Nothobranchius furzeri: one gene and its partners. The protein of the gene in region 3 purifies or fractionates together with the protein of the main gene of each other region. This does not show direct contact. Links are inferred from orthologs where the notes say so. Each region holds a gene or a part of one and is shown on either strand. Other genes may lie near its edges.

What was found. The genes of interacting proteins can lie anywhere in the genome.
Region 1: the proteins of tnfrsf1a (region 3) and cyld purify together in Homo sapiens (affinity purification with western blotting; 4 studies listed by BioGRID, with this or other methods). This does not show direct contact. The link is inferred for Nothobranchius furzeri from reciprocal best matches to the Homo sapiens genes TNFRSF1A and CYLD.
Region 2: the proteins of tnfrsf1a (region 3) and nsmaf purify together in Homo sapiens (affinity purification with western blotting; 3 studies listed by BioGRID and IntAct, with this or other methods). This does not show direct contact. The link is inferred for Nothobranchius furzeri from reciprocal best matches to the Homo sapiens genes TNFRSF1A and NSMAF.

What each region holds. Positions count from the first base shown.
Region 1 is NC_091749.1:70,972,040-70,978,089, forward strand, and holds the start of cyld (ubiquitin carboxyl-terminal hydrolase CYLD), read left to right. Parts: upstream 1-1,777; 5' UTR 1,778-1,960; intron 1,961-4,160; 5' UTR 4,161-4,204; coding exon 4,205-4,696; intron 4,697-6,050. UniProt on the Homo sapiens protein: Deubiquitinase that specifically cleaves 'Lys-63'- and linear 'Met-1'-linked polyubiquitin chains and is involved in NF-kappa-B activation and TNF-alpha-induced necroptosis.
Region 2 is NC_091747.1:41,216,586-41,222,909, reverse strand, and holds the start of nsmaf (protein FAN), read left to right. Parts: upstream 1-2,051; 5' UTR 2,052-2,151; coding exon 2,152-2,189; intron 2,190-3,465; coding exon 3,466-3,549; intron 3,550-3,696; coding exon 3,697-3,775; intron 3,776-6,324. Other genes in the region: UDP-N-acetylglucosamine transporter TMEM241 homolog, read right to left, coding at 42-77, 335-380, 452-500, 571-622, 763-788, 899-976, 1,086-1,167, 1,250-1,327 and 2 more. UniProt on the Homo sapiens protein: Couples the p55 TNF-receptor (TNF-R55 / TNFR1) to neutral sphingomyelinase (N-SMASE). Specifically binds to the N-smase activation domain of TNF-R55. May regulate ceramide production by N-SMASE.
Region 3 is NC_091745.1:73,833,737-73,839,317, reverse strand, and holds part of tnfrsf1a (tumor necrosis factor receptor superfamily member 1A), read right to left. Parts: intron 1,417-5,581; 5' UTR 1,395-1,416; coding exon 1,353-1,394; intron 1,268-1,352; coding exon 1,165-1,267; intron 1,083-1,164; coding exon 957-1,082; intron 867-956; coding exon 711-866; intron 639-710; coding exon 560-638; intron 1-559.

The DNA of each region.
Region 1 (6,050 bases), on a different chromosome or scaffold from region 3:
TCTTTGTATCAGAGAGAAATTATGAAATCTGGATTGTAAAATAATCTGTTGTTTGTTATAAACTAGAGAGCTGTTTGTTTAAGCTCATCAGACGCAATCTGTGCCAATCTACGCACCCTTGGTGTGGAGGTTCTCGTTCGATCCGGGGGGTCGATGGTCACTGCTGGTGGAGTGAACTCTGATATCAGGAACCCGTAGACAGCTCCGATAGGACCCGTCCAGTCTGAGATCCTCCAGGTGAAGGCAGGAAGCTGGAATGCTTATTTGCGTCTAAGGCTGATGTTTGTTTGGCTCTTAGAAGAGCCGTCTGGCTGTGTCAGCTTACAGCGTCGCAGAGAGGCTTTTGACTGGAGGTCAAAGGAGATGGTTTCAAAAGCGGCTTCTTTCCCGAAGTGGCCAGTTCGAGGGTCAGCTAGAAACTGAATTAATCGGGAATTAATTCTCATTTTATTAAACCCCAATGTTATGAGTTAGGCCAAGTTTAGCAAATCAGAGTTTGACACATTATGAGTATTTACGAACATCCCTCAGACAGCCACGCCTCCTCAGATACAAGGATGTTTTTAACACTTTGTGAATGAGAGTCTTGAAACTCTTATGTGATGTGAATTTTAACCTTAATGAGTATCTTATTGTAATGTGTGTGAGTGTTAATAATGATTAACTTGTTAAATCAAACACATAAGATCTGAAATGGAAAATTGTATGAACAATATTCTTTTTAAAGCCATCATGGTTAAAGCACAGATCATTCAAACATTTCATATAAACATCTTGTTCATTCAACACATATGATTATTTAACTTATAAGTTGTAAAGTCTTGTAGGATTCAAGTAGGTTTGATCTCTATTTAAGGCGAGGAATCAATAGTCTGGCTTCTACGCAGAGTGCAGGACCTTGGGTGAGAACGTTTGTGTGTATGTTTTGTCTTCTGGTATGTCAACAAGCACTGGGCAGAACCTTCTGGGTTTGGAAGACCAAACAGAGAGTGGATTTATTTCTGTAGATGAAAGGGTATTATGTTGGTCGATATAAAGGTGAAAATTGACCCTTTTGGACGTTACACAGATATAAAAGACAGATTTAATAGGAAAAATTAAACACGGATGAATCACATTCTACACAGACAACATATAATTAATAATAAAAATGAGAGAAAAAAGGGATCTGTTTACAGCGACATGGACAGAGAGCGCTCTCGCAGTTTGGAAGGATTTCCTGTGGAGATCAGTGGAGCATCCTGGTGGAATAAATCTGTTACTTGGTGCGCGTCACGAATCATGTATTAGTCTAGTCTTTTATTTTTATTTCAAAAACTTCACGAGCATCTTCTGAGACAGCTGTTTTAGAAAATAATCAAGTGCATTTTTTGGACATTTATTATTTTGGACAAAGCGCGCTTTTGCAGATAGTTTTCATTACGTCACATTATCTTATTCATATAAATGTTTTTATTTAAATATTTCTCCATCACTGACGATACGCAGCATGGAGGCACACTGCAACCTATCTGTTTTCCTGCCGTCGATGGGAAAACCCCTCATGGTGAACTTGGTTGAAAACACAGCAAACAGCCAATCAGCGCTAGACTAAGAATTCAGTGACCAATCACCGTCAGAAAACGTAATGACATCACATATTGTCCGTGGTGCTGTCGTCTCCTGAAAATAATAAACGTATGCACCGAGAGGTTATTATTTCACTTATTTTAAATGTGGAGCAGAAGATCTCAATGTAGCTAGGAGCCTTTAGAGGGTGGCAGTCTCCTGCCAGTCTCCCCGCTTCTGCCGACCTGCTCGCTCGGCTCATTTCTGCGTGATTCGGACGCTAGCATTAGCCTAGCCACTTAGCTGCTCCGAGGTTAATACGAGAGATGTCTGTGAAGGTCTGACTGGGATGGGCGAATGAGATGATCTGTCAGTCATCTGCAGCCTACAAGTGACCCGACCCGAATCGAAGGTAAGCTGTTCCTGACGGAGGTATTGAACGTGAGCGAGTGTGTGTGTGGCCGTTAAGCCACTGCCCTCCCGGAGGGCCCGTGACCGACAGCCTCCGCCCGGTGACACGCCGCTGCGGGGTTGGCAAGGAAAGCCCTGAACTAAAATCAGCTGTGTTCAGCTTTTCGCTGCTAACGTCAAAGACACGGCTACGTAAATGCGTGATCGGTCCGTGTCGTGTTGAATTTGGTGCCGGTGGTCTTGTTTTCGTCCTGCTTCTGGTTGTTTATTCGGATCTGGTGTCCTCCTTGAGACGAAGGACGGATGTGGACTTGCTGAAGATTTGATCCGACACGAGATGAGGGGAAGTCCACCGGCTGGTATCAGTGTGTGTGTGTGTGTGTGTGTGTGTGTGTGTGTGTGTGTGTGTGTGTGTGTGTGTGTGCGTGTGTGTGTGTGTCAGGGTAACTGCATGCTCCTCATCTGAGCTCTTTCATATCAGCAGATCTAAGTCCACACGCACACACACACACATGCGGGCATACTCAGCTGTTTGGGTTCTCGTGGGAAAATGCAAAAGCCCCAGACCTTTAATATGCTCTGATAAAACGTATTAAAATACCCTGAAATACTTTTTAGGCAATCAGCAAACTACTGAAACCATTCTCATTGTTTTGAATTATTTCAGTGATTGTAAACACAAAGTCTGGCCTTCATGCTTGACTTTTAAACTATAGTCGTACAAATTCATCACAATTCATTATAAAACAGGATGAGTTTCTTTGGTTTTGTCTGCCTAAAAGATCAAAGAAAGCAGGACAGATCATCTGATCATCTGAGCCCGGCAAGCTGTCCTACATATGTAAATATATAATCTGGCAACAACCCATAAACTCAGTCATCTACGTTGTCTTAAACTCTGCATGCTATTGGACAGCACCAGGACCAATCAGAGCGAGGAATATTGTGACACATCAACTAAAATCGGTCAGTGGGGCAGTCTGCCATGCACAGGTGAAGAAGTACAAGAAGAACCTGTATCTGCTCATGTCTAAATCGTCCAAAGTTGATGCCAAAGTGAGCATCCTGAGCCACCACCATCATTCCTGTTTTGATCCTTCACAGCTCTGCCCATCATTTTGGACAGCAAAGCTGTCTGAGAGCTGTGATTGGCTCAGCCTAAACAAAGCTGAGCCAATTGTAGACCTGCTGAAGCTAGACCAACCCACAGAGTGAAATCCTTTTGTGCTGCTATGGTTTGTCTAGATTTCTAGGCTAGAACAGATGATCAGAAACGCCTGAGAACCCTTTTGGGTAGCTCTTGAGCACAACATTGTGTGTGATCCAAAGCTGGTGTGACAGCAGGACCAGGTGCCCAGGGGCGCCTCCAGAAAATTTTGAAAGGGGTGGCCAGATGGGGCCAAATACATTTTTGGGGTGGCACACCAAATTGGTCCTTGTGGGTAACTGTGGGACGGTTTGTCCTGTAGCAATGTATTGCATTGCTCCTTTATTCATTTTTATATAATAAGAAAAAGCACTACGTATCTAAAACATTTAACTAAAATTTTACAAACACAAACATTTCAGTTATTTAAAATGTTATCCCTAATTTAATTTAAAGTGAAATATTTTTAGGTTAATTCACCTGCTGCTGTGTTCACAAAAAAAAACTATGGAGATAAAATTTTTTGAAAATGGCGAGCAGCGGAAACACACGCATTTGTTTTTTTATTCCGATTACTCCTTTACTTATTAATTGTATTATTTTTATTTAGTTTTACAATGATGTCTTGAATAAACAAGATCAATATATGGTTTGACTGAACATTCATATGATTTGTGAACACCGACTTTTCCTGGGGGGGGGGGGAAGCTCTTTTCTAGGGGTGGCCATGGCCACCCCTTGGGGGCGCCTTTGCAGGTGCCTCGGCTGATACGTGATAAATTGTCGGGACTGGCCTGGAGGTGGTTGATCAGTTTACAGCCGTTAGTGAGCAGACAAGACGGATGGGGTCTTCCTCAGAGCCAGCGTTTGTAGGGAAACCAGTCAGCTACCAATATGTTGAATTTGAACTAAACCTGTTCGAGCTAGTTTTGTGCTTTCTTAGGTGACTTGGCTATAAAAAGCCTGTTTTGATTCATGTATGCTTTTTTAGACTTCCAGGTTTTAATTAAGCAAAACCTTCCTGAGAAACTCACCCACGTGTGTTTTCCTCCAGCCCAGTGGCCAAGCTCGCCTTGGACTCCAGTCTGCCATGCAGCCATGAGCTCCACCCTGTGGAGCCAGGAGAAGCCCAGCGGGGGCTTCAGGGAGGACTGGCGCTTCTACATGGTCGTGAAGGAATGTACCGTGGAGAAGCCCGCCCAGAAGACCCTGAGGATCCCCCGTGGTAGTCTTGGCCAGGCCTGCCAGGAGCGCAACAGCCTGGGGCGAACGTTGCCCCCATGTAAGGGCAAGAAAAGCCTGCGCATTCTGGACCAGACCAACATGGTTCTGAGTCTGGATGAGCGGGACGTCCTGGAGCTGGATGAGAAGCTGGCTGAGTTGCTGTTCCCCATCACCAACTGTGAGGAACGCTACGCCCTGCTGTGCGACTCGTCGCGGCTGGAGCGCATCCGGGACATTGACTGTGGGTCTAAAGTACGCGTCCAGCTTCGCTCGGGGGACAAATCTCTACCCGGGGTGGTCCGATTCAAAGGCTCGCTACTCCCTGACCGAGCCCTCTCCGGAATCTGGTTTGGAGTGGAGCTGCTGGTGAGAACGCTTCTTTGATCTGTTATTTTTTCACAGTGATTAATGTTTTTAATTTCTAAACTTTATGCATGATTTTCAGACAGTGAATCACATATGATCAGTGTACATCATTGGCTGTCTTTTTGGTTTTTATCCCAGTGATTATTCACAGCAGTAATTATCAGAACAAACACAAAAAAAACAAACGACATCCCCATTTAAGCAAGAAAAGAAAGAGATATAAATAAATAAATAAATAAATAAAAGACAAAAATAGGAAAAAATAAACGGAACCAGGACAGAACAAATTCTAATAAATTAAAGAAGGTTCCAAATCTGTGCACAAGTAATATTAATGAATTCTAATAATGATCCTAAGTGGTGAGAGTTATCACTGTTAGACTATTAATATTTAACATTTGACCTGTTCATGTTAGGGGTTACTAGGTAGCTTGAAGGTTTCCATGTATTTTAGAAACGGCTGCCATATTTTAATGAATTTAATAGTTGATCCTGTAATGGTTTAATTTACATGTTATTTAATGAGCCATAAGACGTAAGATTCCATAGTAAATATGAAATCAACCTTATGGATCTGTGGTACTGTTCAACCAGAAGATTGGAACTTTTTATTGCAGGGATTAGATAACAGCTTCATATGAACTCAGAGACAACAGAAGAGAGAGTCTGGTTTTAAAAGTTTAAAGATTCATTACTAAACAAACTAAAACTAGACTAACTTTAAACTAAATGTATGGTGTTACTAAGGTGAAATGAGACAGAGAATGGTGTAGTGTGGAATGTTGCTCAGAACCAGCAAATCCGAAGAAACGATTAGTTCTGGTGGGAATGAAGGTGATGTCTTCGCGTTAAGCTTTGGTTAGGAGATTCATAAACACATTCAACGCCATTCTGTCGGTCTACATACCCTGGTGGAAGTCCCCATCTAGATCAGGAGGTGTCGAGGTCCTGCTTGACCTTATGGAGCCGAAGCTTGTAGAAACAGCCGTGGCAGCCGACCACCAGTCTTGAGATACTCCCGGGTCACGACAGTTTTGCTGGCGTCTAGCGAGACCCAAACCTGGGTCGTGATGGTTCAGCTTTTATTCTGAAAGGAACCGTTGCAGCAGGTGGAACAGCAACAGATTTTATCCAGCTTGTCGTTGGTTCTTTCGGCTGAAGAGGAAAGTTACGGATTGGCCACTCCGACAACTTCTCTAGAACGCTTTGAACTGGCGTTAAAGATGACGTGGGCATAGTTTTATACTTCGGATGTTTTGGTTTATGGTCGAATGAAAAGATGACAGATTTACCAAACACCACCAAAACCACGCCTCCGTCAGATCTGGCAGCTTCTGATTGGATCAGTAAAGCA
Region 2 (6,324 bases), on a different chromosome or scaffold from region 3:
TGGCCAACGTTTCTCATTTAAGAGACCTTGTGGATTCTTACCTGAGCAGGTAGTTAATGCACTGCTGTTCAATATCACTGAAAGTAAATCACACATAAATATTTCAGCGTGTGGGGGTGTCGTACTGTACAATCCCACCGCATAGAGCTGAGTAATCCTAAAATAAAACAAGCAATAGCCTCGTAGCCATCTGAAGATTTACTTTGTGATTCAGGTCAATGGAACAAAGAGGTTTTTCATGATTTTTGTAAAAAAACAAAAAAAAAAAACAGTTTTCATTTTAATAGTTTGTTTGATCTGTAGTAACACAAAAGTGAGACTTAGAATGACTAACCTCAGATTACTGGCCTTGTGCTGAACGTGAAACACCCTGTATGCACCTGAGCACATAGCAGATCATTCATCAGCAGGCCCTTGAAACCAGCCTCTAACAGCAGCACCTTAGACTTACCGACACAGAAAAGATGGCAAAAGGCCCACAGGTAGGCACTGTAGTCAAACTGTAAATAAAACATATAAAATAAGACGATCCGACACATAATCCACCTTCGAAGGACGGGGAATCGTTACCTGAGGGTCAAACAGGGGAAGGTTGATGGCCGACAGCAGCATCAGCAGGACGCTGCAGGAAAAGGGACATTAAAGTGTTATGAGTTCAGAATGTGAATGTTTTATTTCCGAGGTTTTACAATAGAAAACAAAATTAAGATCATTTCAGGTAAATGTTTTTAAGATTCATCGCAGCTAAATAGAAATGCATACCTGATGGATTTGAGCCATGATGTCCTCTGAGATCAAAGAGCCAGATAACATGTTAGATACACGTTAATTACAATATGATTATACCGCTGAAGGAAAATCAAAGGTAATGCACAGATCTGAGCATCAGCAGACTCACATCTCTGTGAAGAATCCTGATCATCATGTAACTCACAACAAAAGAGGAATTCTGCATGGTGAAGTAAAAAGGAATGTCCTGCACAGAGAAAGAAACAGCATCTAGGACCCAACATGTCCAGGAAGTCGTAATCGTGTTGATATTTTTTATTTCTGATGAGTGTTTGACTCTGAATCTGTTAACTCACGATGTGAGAGAGCGCTCTTGACCCTGCATAGATGTTTCCTACAAACAGGAATGAGCCCGGGAGCCAGGAGAGAGCAGCAGATCTGTCAAGCATCAACATATGTAATTAGAGAATAAGTCAGGGTAAAATAAACTCCACAGCAGGTAATAGTCAGATAAAAGAACCTGCTGATGTGTCTCATTTCCACCCAGCCCAGTTTCCCAGCCAGCAGGAGCAGCACAGCTCCCATTAACGTCTGCCATCTGAAAAAGAGGTAAAAAGAAGTAATGATCAAGTTGCTTTTGTATTTAAAAGTTTGTTTTCAGGGACTTACCCTTGGAATAAAGTTGGATAGGTGAACTTTAGCACAGACAGTACAAACTGCAGAAGAAAAAAACAACCATGTCTCAGGTCCTCATTTGTGATATTTTAAATCCAAAAAGCGCCCAAAAACGATCAGATAAAGCCACCCAAGTCTGATTAAGTGATAGTTTGAGTATGTAAAGTAGATCGAGTTTGTTTCTTCTCCAGGTATAGTGTCACACTCACCTTGTTGGTGAAATGAGTCACAACAAAAACGCAGCTGAACGTGATGCCAGCGACGTGGCTTCTCCAGTGCATGTTGAGCTGCAGACGCACGGCAGCGGGGACATGGTTCCTAACAAATAACACTCAGCATTGGTCTGATTTCAGAGAGGATCGCTTCAACTTCCCTCACTGCTCCCGCACCCGCAGACACGTCAAGAAGCCTCGAAGCAAAGATCGTCTATGACTAAGACGATCCCTCACCAGCACAGAGTCGCGCTCGTTTGTTTTTTGGTATCCTAATGGGATATTTTAGAATATTTATAAATTATGCATTAATAATGTAACTTAACACATCATGTTTGTACTTTTAAGATCTTGATTTAAGTGAGCAGTTGTATAAAATCAGCGGCATCGCCTCTAAACTAGGGAGAGTGAAGCATCTTCACTTTTATTGCTGTGGTGAGAGCTGGTCACGTGACGTCAGTCAAGTTTCCGTGTTTACAGAGCTCGGACGGCGAGCGCCTCGGTGTTGAGTTACACAGGAGGATGCAGCGCGGTCATGGCATTTATTAGGACACAAGAGCGAACAAAAGAAAGGTTTGTTACTCTGGGTTCTGTTTTTATGTTGCTGCTTTCTCCTGGAGGTCATTGTTCGGTGTCTGCGGACTGTTTTCCTCCCCTGCGGATGAATATCAGGGCTGTGCTCTGTCATGAGAGGCTCACTGGCAGTTGTCAGGTGTCTTGTTATTGAAGTCATGCCAGCAGAGCTGTCTTTGTTCCTCAGTCTGAGTGGGAGAGGTCGGGTTGACTCATGACATCTGTTTAATCCCCCAAACTGCCTCCAAAAGCAGAATTCTGTTTTCTTCAGACAAATTCTCACCAGAATAATCATCTGATCGGACACCAGACCAAATCCCAAATGACTCACTTACATTGTTTTATATTCAGTAATGATCTCATTATGGCTTTCTGTAAAATATCCGCTGAGATTTTGAAGAAGATGGGCAGTTTCAGCACAGTCTAATGAATCCGTTACATCTGTGTGAAGTGGAACAATCCTATTAATTTAGGTGGAAACAGAGTTCAATACTTAAAAAAAACACTAGGTCTGGACTAGAGCAGCACCCAAAAATCAGCTGGTGATTGGAATTGGCCCATCTCAAATTCTGATTTTATTTTGGGTCTTTGAATGCACCATTGCCAATCAATCAATTAAAACTTAAATCAACCACCATCACTTTGAGTTAATTAGCACACACAAATACACATGAAGAAATTGTTTACACCCACATTCATAACTTTCAGGTTAATCTGAATTAATATCTGTAAAACCTTACAAAAAATGCAAATCAAAAACATACTTAGGGCTCTTGTCCAGTTAAAAGTCAAAGAATTAAACGAATCAAGCTGTATTCACTCACTAAACTCACAAATCTCCCTGATGTGAAACCAAGGCTTCTTTAAACCCCTCACGTTGATATTAAAGTGAACCTCTTGTTGACTCAAATGTATAAAAATGCAACAATTTAACATTTTATTCCTTGTTTCTCAGTGTTGAAATTAAAGGATTAAATTGTGTTTTAGTTGTGCTTTTGTTTAGTTTTGTTAAAGTGCATCTCATTTGTCCAGATGAGTGCATAAATATTAAACATTGTGCGTTTTACTGCATGAAGCTGTTTGTAGTCTATCTGTTTTTAAAGGCTCATGGGAGCATGAGAGGGACATGACAGACAAACTCAGACATTGACAGCACTCGTCTCCATCTTTCTGTCTCGCTGCTACTGAGATGTGCAGCTGGTCAGATGGACAGGCAGCAGCCATTTCCCAGCTGTTCTCTCTCTAATGCAGCTTCTTCCTTATTTTATTTCCTCAGGTTTTCTCTCTTGTTGCTGGATTTGGAGGAGTATTACTTTGAGCAGCACACTGCATACCATGTGACCAGCGATGCAAAGCAGAGGTTAGTCGTATTCCACCTTACGTTAGTCTAAATGTATAGGTAAATCTGATGTCTCTCAATACAAAGTTCCAATCTGGATTTTTCTCTAGTCCTTAATCTTCACGAATCATCCTAGTTTAGAGTTCTAACATGTCTTTTATTTCTCAGAAGAACCAGAGGGTCCTTGAAGGTTTGCTCAAGATCCATCATTTTTGATCCAGAAGATCTTGGAGAACCAATCCTAAAGGTTTGTTTGAATGTAGCACATTTTATTTATGTCTTTAATTCTGTAATCTAACAGGAGTTAAGGGATTGAACTATAAGATAAAACATAGAAAAATAAAAACTATAGGATAATTATTTAAATTTGCCTTCCATCTGACTGAGACAAACTTCCACCCAAGTGTTAGTAAGATGGCAGAATGAGGGCAAAACACAGCTGCTGCATAAGACAAACCATAAACCACCTGTTTAAACTTATTACCTGTTTGGACATCCAGGCTACCGTAGCTGCACCTTGCTTTTGTGACGGCTTTATGTGTGGTGTTTTGTCCGTCTGACTGATCAATTTGAAGAAGAAGAAGAAGAAAACATCTTTTCTATTGCGCCTCTCAAGATAAAAATCACGAGGCACTTCACAAAAACAAAAAATGTAAAAATATAAAAAATAATTAGAAAATGGTTAAAAATATGTTTAAAATGAGCAAAAAATAGGCAATTGTGATTAAAAAATGTAAAGAAAGAGAGAGAGTGAATAGATAAAAGGGAAATCAGTGGATCCTGAGGAAGGTGGAATAGTTGGGGAGAGCAGAATAGAGAGTGGTGAAGAAGGTCATACAAAAGCCAGCCTGAGCAAGTGAGTCTTCAGCTGCTTTTTAAAGGAGTCCACTGATCTCAGGCTCAGGGGGAGAGAGTTCCAGAGTCTGGGGGCCACAGCAGCAAATGATCTGTCACCTTTGGTCTTTAGCCTGGTGCGTTGCACAACCAGTAGGCTTTGATCACTGGACCTCAGGGACCTGCTGGGGGTGTAGGGACTAAGAAGATCACCAATGTAAGATGGTGCTTGTCCATGTAAGGCCCTATAGACCAGAACCAGGATCTTGAAATGAATCCTGAAGTTGACTGGCAGCCAGTGAAGCTGGAGGAGAAGCGGGGTGATGTGGGTGTGTTTGGAGGACTTGGACAGAAGCCGAGCACAGGCATTCTGAACCACCTGTCGACGGTTCAGGGAGGTTCTGCTCAGACACGTGAAAAAAGAGTTACAGTAGTCTGAGCGCGAGGAGATGAAGGTGTGGAGAACTGTCTCAAGTTCAGAGCGAGACAGAATGGGACTCAGCTTAGCAATGTTCCTGAGATGGAAGAAGGAAGAGCGAACAAGAGAATTGACATGAGAATCCAGGTCGAGAGCTGGGTCAAAGGTCACACCAAGATTCCTGACGGAAGGTTTGGTGAGAGAAGCAAGCTGACCAAGAGAGTCTCTGACTTTGCGAACCAGCTTGTCTGGGGCACAGATGAGGATCTCAGTCTTATCTTCATTCAGCTGAAGAAAGCTCCCAGCCATCCAGGTTTTGATAGAGTCTAAGCAGGTGTGTAACAGCTGCAGCTTAGACATCTCATGGGGCTTAAAGGAGATGTACAGTTGGATGTCATCTGCATACAGATGGTAGGAGATTCCTTTGAAGGAGCTCAGGATGTGCTGAAGAGGAAGCAGATAGAGGAGGAAGAGTAGAGGCCCCAGCACAGAACCTTGGGGGACACCATGGGTAAGAGAGGTGGTGGAGGACCTAAACTTGGAGATGGCCACAGAAAAGGAGCGCTCAGAGAGATAAGAGGAGAACCACTCCAGAGCATTTCCTGATAGGCTTACCCAGTCTCTGAGCCTCTCCAGTAGCAGGTGATGGTCAACAGTGTCAAAGGCTGCAGTCAGGTCCAGCAGGACCAGAACAGAACAGTCCCCTGCATCACTGTGAGTCAGAAGGTCATTAGAGACCCTAAGAAGAGCTGTTTCAGTAGAATGAGCTCTACGAAAACCTGACTGGAAGCTATCATAGATGTTATGTTCATCAAGAGCAGCTGTGAGTTGTTTAGCCACAACCTTTTCCAAGATCTTGGAGATGAACGGAAGTTTAGAGATGGGTCTGAAGCTGCTATGGAGAGAGGGGTCAAGACTCGGTTTTTTAAGAAGCGGGTGGATTACAGCGTTCTTAAAGTAAGCAGGGACCTGACCAGAAACCAGAGAAGCATTAATTATAGAGAGCACGCTGGGACCGATGGACTGAAAAGCACTTTTAAACAAAGATGAGGGTAAGATGTGGAGGGGGCATGCAGAGGTCTTCATAGAGTTACCTAGTTTGGTTAACTCAGGCAAAGAAACAGGAGCAAAGCTATCTAGGATGATGGGTCTGGTTGGAGTCGGGAGAGGCAGCGATAAGGCTGAAGGAGAGATGCTAGATCTGACCTTATTGACTTTGTCCACAAAGAAAGACAGAAAGTTCTCACAGTCTGCAACAGAGTGGATGGAGGCTGTAGGAGGGGCAGGAGAGACGATGCTGCTGATGGTGTTAAACAGCACCTTGGGGTTCCCTTTGCTCTGGGACACCAGGTTGGAGAAATAGGAAACCCTAGCGTCTCTGACTGCAGAGTTAAAGGATGACAGAAGATCCTTTAGGTGCAGCAGATGGACGTGGAGATGGGTTTTCTTCCACAAGCGCTCAATTTTTCTGTATTGGCGCTTCAGGCTGCGAAGGCTGTCATTAAACCAGGGAGTAGGGTTCACTGCAGGAACTGATCTGGTTC
Region 3 (5,581 bases):
AAGTAGCATGTCTTCAGAGGAAGTGATTAACGCAAAGGCTGACATGTATTTTTTTTAACTCCAGCTTTCTGTAGCTCTGGTTTCAAAGTTCGACTACACAGAAAGTTGAGCTGAACCAGTCACTGTCCCAGTAACTCAGAAAGATTCTTATGTTTATGCAAACCAGGATGTAAACATGACAGAAATATAGGAAGTTTGAGCTGCAAGTTTTTGTGCTTCCTTGTTTGATTTGTGTCAAACATCTTCGACTATAAGAACCAAAAATAAAAACACTCAACGCAGCATTTTAGGAGAAGATAAGAGAGGTCATTATACGCTAACAGACTTTTAGTAGACGCGAATAAGAAAGGTTTTTTTTAGCGAGTCTCAAGACGTGTGTGTCATAACTTCTCTCCTGTATTGCTAACAAATGGAAAGCTTGAACAAAGTCGGAAGTGAGCTGCAAGTTTCATTTCTACAAACCAACTTCCTTAATTAAAATGTTACAAAAAAACCTTCCCAAACTCGAAGATGGAAACAAAACGAGAACCAAGGACTCGTCGGACAGCGATGCACTCACTTCCTGCAAGGTTCACACTTGTTTCTGACTCTGTAGAAGTTTTCCTTACAGCCACACACGGTGTCTCTCTCTCGAGTACCTGTGAAAACAAAACTGGCTTTACCACGGAGTGGTTGTTTAATTTATTACAGAAGAATCTTTAAAGACTCACATGCATGCTCCTCCGTTTCATCTGGTTTGCATCTCGAACACTTGAGGCACTCAACCGTTTCACTGTCAATGTGGTTTTTGTAATAGCCGACCTTACAGCCACAGATGGTGTTTTGAGCTGCTCTACAAGGTGAAACCTCAACTTCATTTCGTGCTGCTGCAGAAAAGTTGACAAAATTAAAGCTTTTACAGCTAATCTGATGCTGTGCAAGCTGAGAAATGAAGTCTGGAGAAGTTAAAGTCACACCTCTGCAGGTTTTGCACTTTCTGCACTGGAAAGCGTTGTTTATCTGGTCGGAGAACTGCCGAGCAGGACAGGGTGTGCAATTACTTCTGTGACCTTCACTGTGACACTCTGCAACCAGCTTAAACCCTGAAAACAAAATGATCCCACAGAAGTAAACGCAAAGTCAGAATTCACATTCTTTACAGGTCCCGTCACGTGTAAAGGTTACCTGCAGGACATTTGTTGCAGCATATTCCATCTTTGTTTTCGTAGTCACCGACTGGACACTTGGGTGTAACTAAGTTGAGCGTAGCGGCAAAGATGAATGTGAACTGAAAGTAACGATAAACAATGAGCAGGAAAATGAAGGCAGGGTTTCCCACTAACATGCATTTGCGTCTTAAAAATTTTTTTCACCTCAAAGAGCAGGAGGAGGATCCTCAGCCTTCCTGCCATCATTTTGGACTTCAATTCAATCCATCTGGAAGAATAAACTAGAATTTAAAATGTTTAAATTACAAAAGAAAATCTTGTGTGTGTATTACTGGTCAACCGATACTGTTTTTTTTTGTTTTTTTTTTCCGATACCGATGTCGAAATGCAGGAGGCATGGTTAGCTGATGGCTGATGTGTACTGCAGATTTTCATGGCCGATACCTGGATGTTTTCCATGCTAAAATGTCACTGATGACATCAGTTGATGCACAAAATTTCTGAAGCTGAATCAGTTTTAAACTCTAAATTAAACTAACTGCTCATTATTAACTTTGTGCACTGCTCTGTGTTAAAGTCAGACACCTAAATAAAGTTAGTTTGGAGCATTTATTGTCATTAGTGAGCACAAAAATACATTTAAAGGTGCATTATGTAGAAGTAAAAATGACATCCTGTGGTAAAATGTGGTTAGTGCAACCACTTTAAACTACTCTGTAGCTTTTTGCCGGCTGCCGTCAAATTACAATCGTCGGCGCTACAGTATTAGCTCACAGGAGACACGGCAACTCCACACTCACTGATGGTAAACATTAGTTACGTCCCTACTTCTGTTGTTTTGAAAGGAGACAAACGTGACAATCCACGCAGCCAGCTGGATATGAATTGATAATGATAAATGACCCGCACTTGTATATCGCCTCTCAGAGGTGGATGAGCTACAATGTAGCCACAACTGCCCTGGGGTGCACTGACAGAGGCGAGGCTGCCGAGCACAGGCGCCACCGGTCCCTCCGACCACCACCAGCAGGCAAGGTAGGTTAAGTGTCTTGCCCAAGGACACAACAGCAGAATTCTCTGTCCGGAGCTGGGATCGAACCGGCAACCTTCCGATTACTGGACAAACCGCTCAACCCGTTGAGCTACTGCTACCCCTAATGACTGAATGAAATATGTTCCAGAATAACTTTCCTTCCAAAATGACAAACATTTCTCGTTTGGGATTTTCTCACTGAACAACTCTCACTATATTCTTACATACTGCACCTTTAAATAAAATTCTGCAACAACGTTGGACTGCCTGAGGATGTGCCCGACTTTAAATCTGCTTTACTAATGACAAATATAGGCCGCTGCTGATGTATAAATACAGTAAATATCGGCCCGATACATCGGCTCACCGATATATTGGTCTACCCCTAGTATGTAGGCATTTAGATGTGAAGTTCACTTACTTAAATTCAAAATGAGCATTCAGGACAAGGTTCACTTAGAAACCATTTTTACTTGTTGTTTTGGAAAACGATCAGTCACTCAGAGTTGAACATGCAAGCTGAAGATGAAAACAGTCTTCTACCCCTCTTTCCTGCATTAGCCGCTGATAGAAAATAAGACGCTGAAACTCTTCGAATTAGAAAATCCTGACAGATCTACGTCACACTGTCGCTTAACATTCATGGACTCACCCATCTTGACTCTTGATGTGGTAGGCTGTTGTTGGTTTAGCGTCCAAGAATCAGCAGAGAACATCTTGGCTAGTGGAAGCTAACCATTAGCATTAGCAACTCCACCACACAGCAGAACTCCTTCAGGCTTGTGTTATTTGTGGAGATAAAATGTCAACATTGAAAAGCAACCAGAGTCAGTGGTAGAGTCATGTTGCTGTTAGCCAATCAGAAGTGAGATATCTGAATATCAGGAAATAATACTCCAAATTCTGCTGTGTTCAACTAATCTCTCCCTTGACTTCTAGTTCCTCAAACAGGAGCTTTTTTCCCCCAGAGTACGACTTACAAGGAAGTCGACTTACAAGGAAGTCATTCCTAATATAAACCACCGTGTATTAAAATATGACTAAAGTCAACCTTTAAAAATGGAGAAGAAACAGGATGTTTCAATCAATCAGTCCATCAGGTTTTATTTATATGGCGCTTTCCACCACCCTCAAAGGGGGCCCAAGGCGCTGGACAAGTAACAAAGATAAAAGTAGCAAGTCATAAAAACATTCAAAACAAATAAGAACATAGACCTTTATGAGAACAATAAAATGCCAATGAGATAAAATTTAGATAAAAGAAAATTAAAATTCATTAGTTAAAAGAAAGCTAAGAACAACAAAATTCAAACCAGAAACCAAAAGCTTTAGGAGAAAGCCATCCTATAAAAATGAGTCTTCAACCTGCTCTTAAAGACTGCCAGTGATGGGGACTGTTTGATTGTGACTGGGAGCTGGTTCCAGAGAGAAGGTGCAAGGACTTGAAAAGCCCTATCACCACGAGTCTTAAATCGGGTGCGAGGGACCTGGTCAGCGGACCGTAATGACCTTGAGGGAACATGCTTTATTAAGAGCTCCACTAAGTAGGTGGGGGCACTGCCTTGGAAAATCTTAAGACACAAAAAGCAGAATTTTAGACTGTGCCCGGTATGAGACTGGGAGCCAGCGAAGAGAATCCAGCACTGGAGAAATGTGGTCCCTTGTTTTCATGATTCTGCTGGTCTACATGGATTTCCCCCCACAACCATTTCTAGGAGAAAAACAGTAGGGCTGTAGCGAAGCCTCGATGATGTAGATGTCTCGATTCTAAAAATTTGTCGACGTCAGATCCGGTAGTCGACGCACCACGCCCACTTGTTGCATCCCCAGGAGTTTGTAAATAGAGGTGGAATCTGCCTGTTTTTCCTCCAGTTCGCCCTCTTCTCCGCCTTCACTAACATCTCCACCAAATACAGAAGACCCGGAACAACGTATTCCTTTCCTGTTTTGCCCGCCTTCGTCTCCCGGCAACGGACAACAACTTCCGGGGTCAGATGCGCTGCTTCGTCTCTATCGCAGATGTAGAAAATCACCGGGAGCGTTTCTCCCTTCATAAAGGAGCTTCTTTCAGACATTAGGAGAGCTGTTTTTGTGGTAGCAGTCTCTCCTCCGTGCTGGTCTGTTTGCTGCTGGGTGTTTTTGGTTTATTTAAACTTGGTAACTTGAACTTAACGTTGGTAAAGCTACTGTTAGCACTTTCGCTAACAGCTTCTTGCGTTTGGATAAGCTGTTACGTTTTGGTTTAGAGTTCATCTTTTTTGTGGTGCAGATCTCCCTTTTATTCCATTTAGAGTGTTGTGGGTTTTCGGTTTAGTTTAAAATATCACCTCGAGTTTGGTTTAACCGCCCAGTTTAGAGTTTGGACCTTTGGAGATTCTTATTTTGGTCCAGAACCCAGTAATCTTTGCCCAGTGGGACATCCCTACTTATTTGTACTTTGTTTTAATCCCCCACAGGCAGAATTAAGTTTTATTATTCCCAACCGGTGGATGGAAAGATTTATGTTTTTTTTTTGTAGTTGTAAATAAATCTGATCATCATTTTAACTTTTAAATCCCGTGTTATTGTCCCTTCCTTTTTGCACACAAGCCAAACTCCCCAGGAAGGGTTGTAACACCACTCGCCTCACGCACATAAGTGACCAAAACAAAGCAGCATGGAGACACTCCATCTCCAACCACCTCTCAGGCAGCAGCCTGCACTCCCACGTTCTACACGTCACCAGAACACAACCAATCGCAACACAATAAAAGCAGTGTTATACAAAATGGAAGGCCTGTAGTGTTTATTCTCTTACAGTAACAACTTATCAATTTTTTGAGGAATTTATTAGATTTTTTTTGTTTTTATTAACTGTGCAATAGAAATTTAATCATTAGATTAATTGTCTAAATAGTCATTAGAATAGTTGACTATTCGATAAAATAATCGTCAGAATAATCGTTTTAAAAATAACCGTTTACCCCTAGCCCTAAAAAACAGATAATCCCAGTGAGCAGCAGCTGTGTGGTTGAACAAGTCTCATTGATGTCAGAGGTCAAAGGGGAAGGGCAGACTGGTTTGAGGTTATCAAAGAAGATCAAATGGTCACTAGTTTCAACAAAGGTCAGTAAACAACATGTTGAACCTTGAACCACAGCGGGTGTCACACCTGTCAGGTAAAAACAGGAAACTGTAGCTACACATATCACAGGATCTATTCAACGATAGGAGACGGGAAAAATGTTTCCCCAAGTCTGATGAGTCTGGATGTCTGCTGCAACATTCAGATGCTAGGGTCAGAATTTGGTGTCATCATAAAAACATGGATCCATCTGCTGCTGGTGTAATCATGTGGAGATGTTCTTGTCCAACTTATTAGCACCAATTGAGTATTGTTGCTGTCCATCTTTTATTACAT